2 linked regions of the Daphnia pulex genome follow. The protein of the gene in region 1 purifies or fractionates together with the protein of each later gene. This does not show direct contact. Links are inferred from orthologs where the notes say so. Each region holds a gene or a part of one and is shown in the gene's direction. Other genes may lie near its edges. The genes, in order: tyrosine-protein kinase CSK-like and paxillin-like.

The links.
Region 2: the proteins of tyrosine-protein kinase CSK-like (region 1) and paxillin-like purify together in Homo sapiens (affinity purification with mass spectrometry; 4 studies listed by BioGRID and IntAct, with this or other methods). This does not show direct contact. The link is inferred for Daphnia pulex from reciprocal best matches to the Homo sapiens genes CSK and PXN.

Annotation. Positions count from the first base shown.
Region 1 is NC_060018.1:1,948,220-1,952,817, forward strand, and holds the start of tyrosine-protein kinase CSK-like, read left to right. Parts: upstream 1-1,634; 5' UTR 1,635-1,985; coding exon 1,986-2,041; intron 2,042-2,121; coding exon 2,122-2,341; intron 2,342-2,439; coding exon 2,440-2,574; intron 2,575-2,642; coding exon 2,643-2,779; intron 2,780-2,841; coding exon 2,842-3,009; intron 3,010-3,071; coding exon 3,072-3,267; intron 3,268-3,637; coding exon 3,638-3,724; intron 3,725-3,796; coding exon 3,797-3,979; 3' UTR 3,980-4,598. Other genes in the region: polyprenol reductase-like, read right to left, coding at 26-213; thioredoxin-like protein 4A, read left to right, coding at 781-858, 916-1,052, 1,117-1,330. UniProt on the Homo sapiens protein: Non-receptor tyrosine-protein kinase that plays an important role in the regulation of cell growth, differentiation, migration and immune response.
Region 2 is NC_060022.1:1,457,366-1,461,184, forward strand, and holds part of paxillin-like, read left to right. Parts: coding exon 1-32; intron 33-125; coding exon 126-299; intron 300-716; coding exon 717-947; intron 948-1,089; coding exon of another isoform or gene 1,090-1,203; exon of another isoform or gene 1,204-1,715; intron 1,716-2,991; coding exon 2,992-3,112; intron 3,113-3,312; coding exon 3,313-3,458; 3' UTR 3,459-3,819. UniProt on the Homo sapiens protein: Cytoskeletal protein involved in actin-membrane attachment at sites of cell adhesion to the extracellular matrix (focal adhesion). Recruits other proteins such as TRIM15 to focal adhesion.

The DNA of each region.
Region 1 (4,598 bases):
GAATCAGCAGTAGTAACTTTAATACCTCTTCGGAATAAGGATAGTTCTGATTGAACTGCCAAATACCTTACCTTCACAACTTTTCCCATAAGAGTAGAGATCAATTATAATCTTTGGTATCCACTTAGTATCAACAACAAACACAAGAATACCAAGAATGGAACTCATGCTCAACAAAATAAAGATGGTAATAACAATGCTTATTGTGATCATGGCCGGTGTTGAGACTATTGGCTATCTTGAAGGAATGGCTGAGTTATTAATTCGTTTAGATTGAAAGCATAGTCGGTTTTCAACAGGTTATGTAAAAAGAGATTTGATTTTACGTAAAAGCACAACTGGTTTTTCGGGTTTCTGAAGGCGACCCCGTGCCATGAAGTCTGAACGAAAAATTGAAAACAAATGATAAGAGGAAGGGGGCCAGGGGGGGAATTCGAAAGTATTGCCACTTGCCAGATCTTAAGAATAATCCCTTATTAGAAATAAATTTTATTTTACTTTTAAAATGTTTTATTAGTAAAACTTTAAATATTTTATAGTTAACTATACACATTTTTATACTGTTAAATATGTTTATATTCCTTGGGAGTTGGGAATGAATTTGTAAAGAAAGTGGATGAAAATTTCACACACAGATGTCGTGTTACTCGTGAAGTTGACAGACGCATTATTTACCTTTTTCGGGTTTCTGAAAGGAAAGGTTTGAAAACGTGAAGCGAGATCTATTTCTAAGCACTGTTCAGCTTTTTCTTTTTTCACGACCTTTATCAATCAAACAATATGTCTTACATGTTACAGCATCTTGTTAATGGTTGGCAAGTAGATCAAGCAATTCTTTCAGAAGAGGACCGTTTAGTGGTAAATCAAACTTTCTCTAGTTAATATTACTATCAATTTAAACATGCTTTACTACAGGTTATTCGTTTTGGTCATGATTGGGACCCAACTTGCATGAAAATGGATGAAGTGCTTTATCAAATTGCAGAGAAAGTCAAGAACTTTGCTGTCATCTATTTAGTGGATATCACCCAAGTTCCTGACTTCAATAAGATGTAATTTCATATTTACATTGTATGAATGAATCCCAATAATGATTTTCACTGTTTTTCTATATAGGTACGAGTTGTATGATCCTTGCACAAACATGTTTTTCTTCCGTAACAAACACATTATGATAGATTTAGGCACTGGTAACAACAATAAAATCAACTGGGCAATAGAAGATAAACAAGAAATGATTGACATTGTGGAAACAGTCTATCGTGGAGCCAGAAAAGGTCGAGGTTTGGTTGTTTCACCGAAAGATTATTCTACCAAATATCGCTATTAACTGTGTTGTTCAATTAAATGACACTGGATTAAAAACTAATAAATGATGACACTTTTGAATCCCCATTTTCATAAATTGTTTGTCTCATAAATTGACCATCAAGTAAACACATCGTACAACAATCGTTACAACAATTACATTATATTACTTACGGTTAGGTTTCCGAACAGTGATTTAACTTACCATGAAAATTTATTTCAATTATTTTATATTTTACGTATACCGTACGTAGTTATTAGCAGGTAACGAATACTTCCCAAAAAGAACTCGAGATAGAGTGACATGTCCATTTAGTTTAAACTTAAGCCACTAGGTGCTCGACACTATGGCGGCAGTCTGTTTCCTGCCTGTTTCTTGTTTCGCCCCGTCAGATTAAATGAATGTAACCGTTTCAATAGCTCGGTTAGAACAATGTGTCATATACCCCTAAGTGAAGACATCAAAACTTTTTACTTATGAATGTGCTGATCCCCATGAAAGTACCATAAAGTGAAGAGGATAACAGGTGTTTACAGCCGGTGGCCGTCCAACAACGAACTTGTACTTATTGAACTCCGTGTGCACCACTGTATATTTTTGTTGCCTTTGAGGTGTGTCTGAAACGGTTTTATCTTCCTTTAAAGGTATAAGTGTGAAATTGAACTACTCTTAGTGAATGCCTTCAAACAACGAAATGAACAAGAAACTAGAAGTAAAACTTCATGCAATGCCGTAAGTGTCACAGCCTTTCCCATTACCATCATTCAATATCATGCTGTTGATCATTAACTATGCTTGTTTTTCTTTTTCAGCTGGTTCCATGGGAAAATTTCAAGGGAACAAGCAGAAAACCTGCTACAACCAAGAGAAGATGGTCTTTTCTTGGTTCGTGAGTCTACCAATTATCCTGGAGACTACACTCTCTGTGTCAGTTATCAAGGGGAGGTTCAACATTACAGAGTCATATACAAAGATAACAAACTGACCATTGATGAAGAGGAGTTCTTTTCTACCTTGGCAGAGCTTGTTGAAGTAAGCTCTATTCTGCTTTTATTAATTAAAACTAGGAAGTTTTAGGTTTATGACTATCTGAATGGCTAATATTGATTTTTCTTTTGAACAATATTTAGCATTATGAAAAGGATGCAGATGGACTTTGTACCCGTCTTGAGAGGAGTGTTGCTAAACAGGGCAAAACGGACTTCTGTGTTGATCGAAAGGACTTTGAGGAAGCAGGCTGGATCATTCAAGAAAAAGATCTCCAAGTAAAAGAAGAAAAAAACACCTCAAACATTAGCCAGTTTTCACTAAATTAGTTTTCCCCTTTAAATAGCTTAAGGAGTCAATAGGGAAAGGAGAATTTGGTGATGTGATGCTAGGTTCTTTTAAAGGAGAAAAAGTAGCTGTTAAAATATTGAAAGATTCAAGCAAAGCAGCACAAAAATTTCTTGCTGAAGCATCAGTAATGACGTAAGTAGGAAACATTTTACAAATTTTCCTTAAATAATAACATCTTCAATTCTGGGATATAGATCTTTACGTCACCCGAATCTAGTTCAACTACTTGGCTTGGTGTTCAACGATCAGCATCAGCACCTCTACCTGGTCACAGAATTTATGAGTAAAGGAAGTTTAGTAGATTACCTTCGCTCAAGAGGCCGGTTACATGTCACCAAACGAGATCAAATCAAATTTGCCTAGTAATATTACTTTCTTGTCGTATTGTTATACGAACCTCATTTATTCATTTATACCTCCGTAGTGATACCTGTTCAGGAATGGAATATCTTGAATCGAAAAAAGTTGTTCATCGAGACTTGGCGGCCCGAAACGTCTTGGTCGCTGAGACCGGAGATGCTAAAGTTTGTGATTTTGGATTGGCTCGCGAAGAAATATACAATCAAGAGGGAGGCAAGTTCCCCATCAAATGGACAGCACCAGAGGCATTGAGACATAGTGTAAGTATAGTTTCCATTCGAATTTGCTTATTGAGATGGGTTATCTAATTCAAATATTTCTCAGTTAATGCCCAATGATTTAAATGCTGTAAAGAAACCTTTTGCAGAAGTACTTAGTTTTTTTTCAGTTTTTAACAAACTAGGAAGATTTTTTTACCTTTGTTTTTAACAAACTAGGAAGATTCATCAAATAGTTACACACAGGGCTACAACTACAGATACGTTCAAAATTGTTAAAGAAATTTTTGTCTAGTTTCCAACTTTCTATCTCAAAATAGAATGGAATGTTGTAACAGCATTTTCTAATCGTCACATTTGTGGTTTCGTTCACCACGTATTTCGTCATTAACATTCCACATATTTATCACAGAAATTTTCCAACAAGTCGGATATGTGGAGTTTTGGGATTCTCCTGTGGGAAATCTACTCTTTCGGACGAGTCCCTTACCCGCGTATTGTAAGTTTATATCCTTATTTGTTTCTTAGCAAATAGATTCAATTATTCGATGTTCTTTGTCTCTGGTTTTAGCCTCTTGCAGACGTTGTGAAGCACGTGGAAAAGGGCTACCGAATGGAAAAACCTGAGGGTTGTCCGCAAGAGATTCATGACTTGATGAGACAAGCCTGGGACCTAAACGCTGATCGGCGACCCACTTTCAACCAAGTCAAGCAACAGCTGGCCCAACTCAAAGACACTCCTAATTTCGTCTGAACCAAATGCACTTAACCCACTGATTCATTTGATACCCCACCTTTCATTTCCTTTCCAGTCTGTCGACGGGGTTCCGTGACCAATGAAATCAAACAAGTAATCAATTACGAAATTGGGGAAACATGGCGAAAGTAATCATGAATTGGAGTTGTTTGCCAGACGTCAATGGGGTATCGAGCCGATCCTCTCTTGAACTTGGAGAACCCACCAGGAAAAGAGGTAAAATTAAACTAAGGTTTGCGCTTCAGATCAAGAATTGACAAACGTGCCAACCATCATCAGTTCGAATCCATCGTTATCTAAAAAAAAAGCCTATCTATAATTTAAAAAATTCAACATCGAAATCACCATCCAAAGAAAATTAAGCCACAGTGCAAATCAAGCCAAGACGTTGCGACGTCATCGGAGCTTCCTTTTGCCCCATCTTCCTTGATCATTCTTTAGGCTTCGTTTTAACACATTTTTTTTCCAATCGTCCTGAATATCCGATCAATCTGCTATTAATTTTTTGTTTACGATAATGTTACGATTATTGCCTGCCTTGACCGTGTTAACTGTACATAATCTGGTTGTGCTTACCTCTGCTGTTTGGTTCTTTTTGAAAATTAAATTAATACGT
Region 2 (3,819 bases), on another chromosome or scaffold:
GCACCGCCTGCGAGAAGCCCATCGTCGGGCAGGTCCGACTTTTTTTCATTTCCCCCTCAATTCAATTGACCCGACCATTGAATTAATTGAATTTGTATTGTTTTGTTTTGTTGTGGGGTTTTCAGGTGGTGACGGCTCTTGGTAGGACGTGGCATCCGGAGCACTTTGTCTGCTCCCACTGCCGCCAGGAGTTGGGAACGCAAAACTTTTTCGAACGCGACGGCCAGCCTTACTGTGAACCCGATTATCACCACCTCTTCTCGCCCCGTTGCGCTTATTGCAACGGACCCATTCTAGATGTACGTTGTTGCCTTTTTCCTGGTTGTTTCAACACCCACCGCGGGCCCAATTGATTTGGCAAATTCCGACCCTATTTCACACACGCGTTGGGTCCAGTTGGTCCTGGACGGGAGAGCTCTTCTCTCTCTCTCTCTCACTATCCAGAATGTATAAATAGAACTTTTAAGTGGCCCCGAACGAACTGAGCGAAGCCATCACAAGAGTCACGCACGTTGGCTGACTGATGAAACGGATGAATGGATGGACGACGGTGTCAGACAGCTGGTCTGGTTCACCTCATCACCCGAAAACTTGTTCTTGTTGGCAGCCTCTTTTTGTTGTTGTTTCTTTTTCCTAACATGTTCCTACTAACTTTCTTTTTTTCGGACGTTGTGTTTCTTTTATCGCCCCCGCGTCGCCAATTGGTTCCATTACAGAAATGCGTGACGGCGTTGGATCAGACGTGGCACCCGGATCACTTTTTCTGCACCCAATGCGGCTGCCAGTTTGGCGAGGATGGATTCCAGGAGAAGGATGGCAAGCCATACTGCAAGGAGGACTACCTGGCCATGTTCGCCCTCAAGTGCAAAGGCTGTTCCACGGCCATCACCGAGGGCTACATCTCGGCTCTCAACGGCCAGTGGCATCCCAATTGTTTCGTCTGCAGGGTAAGTTTTTCCTTATTGACGTCAGATATGTTGTCCCCTGGAAGGTAGGTTATTCTTCTAGACAATCCTATTAGTAACGTGTGTCCGTTTCGCTGTTGTTGTTGTTGTTGTTGACATTCTTATATATCTCTTGACCGAGAAGGATTGTCGCGTTTCGCTCAACGGCGGATCTTTTTACACGGTCGACTCGCGCCCAGTTTGCGGCAAGTGTATGGGCGTCGGTTCCGATGCCGAAGACGACGACGACAGCCAATGAAGTGACCCCCGTGACCCCAAAACAAAAAAACAAAACAAAAACAAACCAAAATGTGTTTGAAAATTTTCAAGGAAGAAGAAAAACACAAACCCAAAAAAACACACGGCGCTTCTTATCTCACTTCTCCTTTCGCACACTTTTCTCTCTCTCTCTCTCGCTCCTCTTGAAGTAGTTTTGGCCACTCCCACCAGAAAAAACAGTCCCGAGTTTTTATTTTACAAAATAAGAAACCTGACAAACCAAAAAAATGATGATGATGTTCTAGTCCTGAAAAATAACAACACACCCACCGCGCGACATGCCCAAGTGCCTCCTCTTATTTAAAACAAATTTATTATTGGCTCATTTTTTGGCTGTTTCTTCTGACTTTTTTTCTTCTTTCTATCCCCCTTTCGCTCTCTATTCTCTCTCTCCATTTTGTGTGTTGTGTCTTGTTATGTATGTTGGCGATGATGAATCTTTTTCGCACAAAATGACAATGAAAGAAAACAAGTTAAACCAAAAACCAAAAATACCTGAAAAAAGAGTTCCACTCGAACGAGCAAATCATACTACTACTCTACTGCTGCTACTTTTTCCAGTTTGGTACATATAGTCAGAGAATAAAACAAAAAAGAAACAAAAGATTAACGACTCTTCGGTGGCGGGGAGGCTCATGCACTATTGGATGGATGGTATAGTTGGACTGGTTTGGCGGGGTAGTAGTAGCAGTACAGTTCGTTTAGTTCAGTCACATTTCTTTTCTATATACAACACACACACCCGTTGGGTGGGTTTATTTTAACGATGCGGATGAGTTCACATCGTTACGCAAAATGAGCGCTGCAAAGTAAAAGGCAAGTTCGTCATTCTCGTGAACTCCCCATGGTTCGGTTCACGCAATGGGTTTCTTCTTCTTTTTGTGTGTGTAGAGCCGGGTTGAATAAATCAGTCAAGTCGTGGGAGGGCGGAGACAAGCTCCGAGCCGGGATGAAGTTGCTTACCTTTGAGCTTCTTCTTCTTTCAAAATTAGAATTCGTTATTTTTGTATTTTGGCTTCTTTTTTGCGCGCTAGTCTTGTCCATTTGATTGTTGTCATCGCTTTTTAAAGCTTTTGGACCCGGGGGTTTGAATAAAGCGCTTTGCACAGCTGTGCCCTCCTCCCTCGGTCGATCTTTACCAGCAGAAAAAAAATTTTTTGAAGCCAGCTTTCGAGGAACTGTAAACGACCGGATGACGCATGGCGTGTCATAAGAGATTTCTCCGGTGCCGCTCTAGCGAAGTAGAAGAAGAGGGATACTATCTATAGGCTGGCGAAAGCGTATAAATAAAGACATCCTTTCTCTCGACTCTCCTTTTTTCTATTCTCAGAACATAAAAGACACGTACGAAAAAAAAAAGTTATATTTTTTTTTCGGGTTTTTGAAAATTCGCCGCAGAATGGCGCGGACTTTTCTTCTTTTTATTTTCGCCTATTTTTGGGCTCTTTGGAGAGGCTTTACTAACTACGACCAGTAGTTGGCTGTCAAACAATCACTTAGTCTCGGGCTCTTGACCCTCTTTTCTGCTAGCTCCTCCTTCGCCATTTCCCTTGTAGTCGTTATTAACATTTTATTTTTAAAAGCGACTCAATGAAAGGCATTTCTTTTCCAACAACAAACGGCGTACGGGTGACGTTAAGGGTGTCTAATTAAAAACAACAATTACCCCCCCCCCCTCACTTAGTAATTAAGCAAATATGGATCTTTTGCTAATGCGATTATTAAATTGTTATTTTTTTTTTTTTTTCCCCACCATTCCAACTTGCAGGATTGCAACATGCTGTTCCAGGGCGGATCGTTCTTCGTTCACGAGGGTATGCCCTACTGTGAGATCCATTACCACGCCAAGAGAGGTTCGCTCTGCGCCGGATGCCATAAGCCGATTACCGGTAACGATTTTCTTCTTCTTCTTTATTTTCTCTTTAATAGACATCCCCCTCCCCCCCCCATAACACTTGCGTGAAAAAACAACAACCGTTTAACCTCATTTTCTCTATTCACCCATTATACTGTAACTGCTGTATACGATGTGAATGAATTTGTTTGTTATTGTTCTTTTGTTATCACGCGAAAAACAAAACAAAATCAGGTCGGTGCATCACGGCCATGTTCAAGAAGTTTCACCCGGAACACTTTGTCTGCTCCTATTGCCTGAAACAGTTGAAGAAGGGCACGTTCAAAGAGCAAGGAGACAAGCCGTACTGCCACGGATGTTTCGAGCGCCTATTCGGATGAAAAACCAAAACAATTCCGGAAGGGAATGAAACAACAACAACAAACAATAATGATTTTGAAAAATGATTCATTTCTTCTTTTTTTTAATGATTGGGTGGGGAAGTACAACTGACGACGGACTCCACGTTTACAATGTAATAACACATGTGAAAAGATAACCCCCCCCCCCCACTCAATCCACATCGAATTCTATTTTTCAATGTAATCCCCGCCCGCCCACGCCCCCCATGAAGGAAACCAGCGCATAAAAAAAGGAAAAGAAAATGACACGCAGACACATTTTCTATATACTTACACTACTACATTACAGTATAAATCTTTATTCGATTTCTACCATAAATATTCTTAGGGCGACATCCCA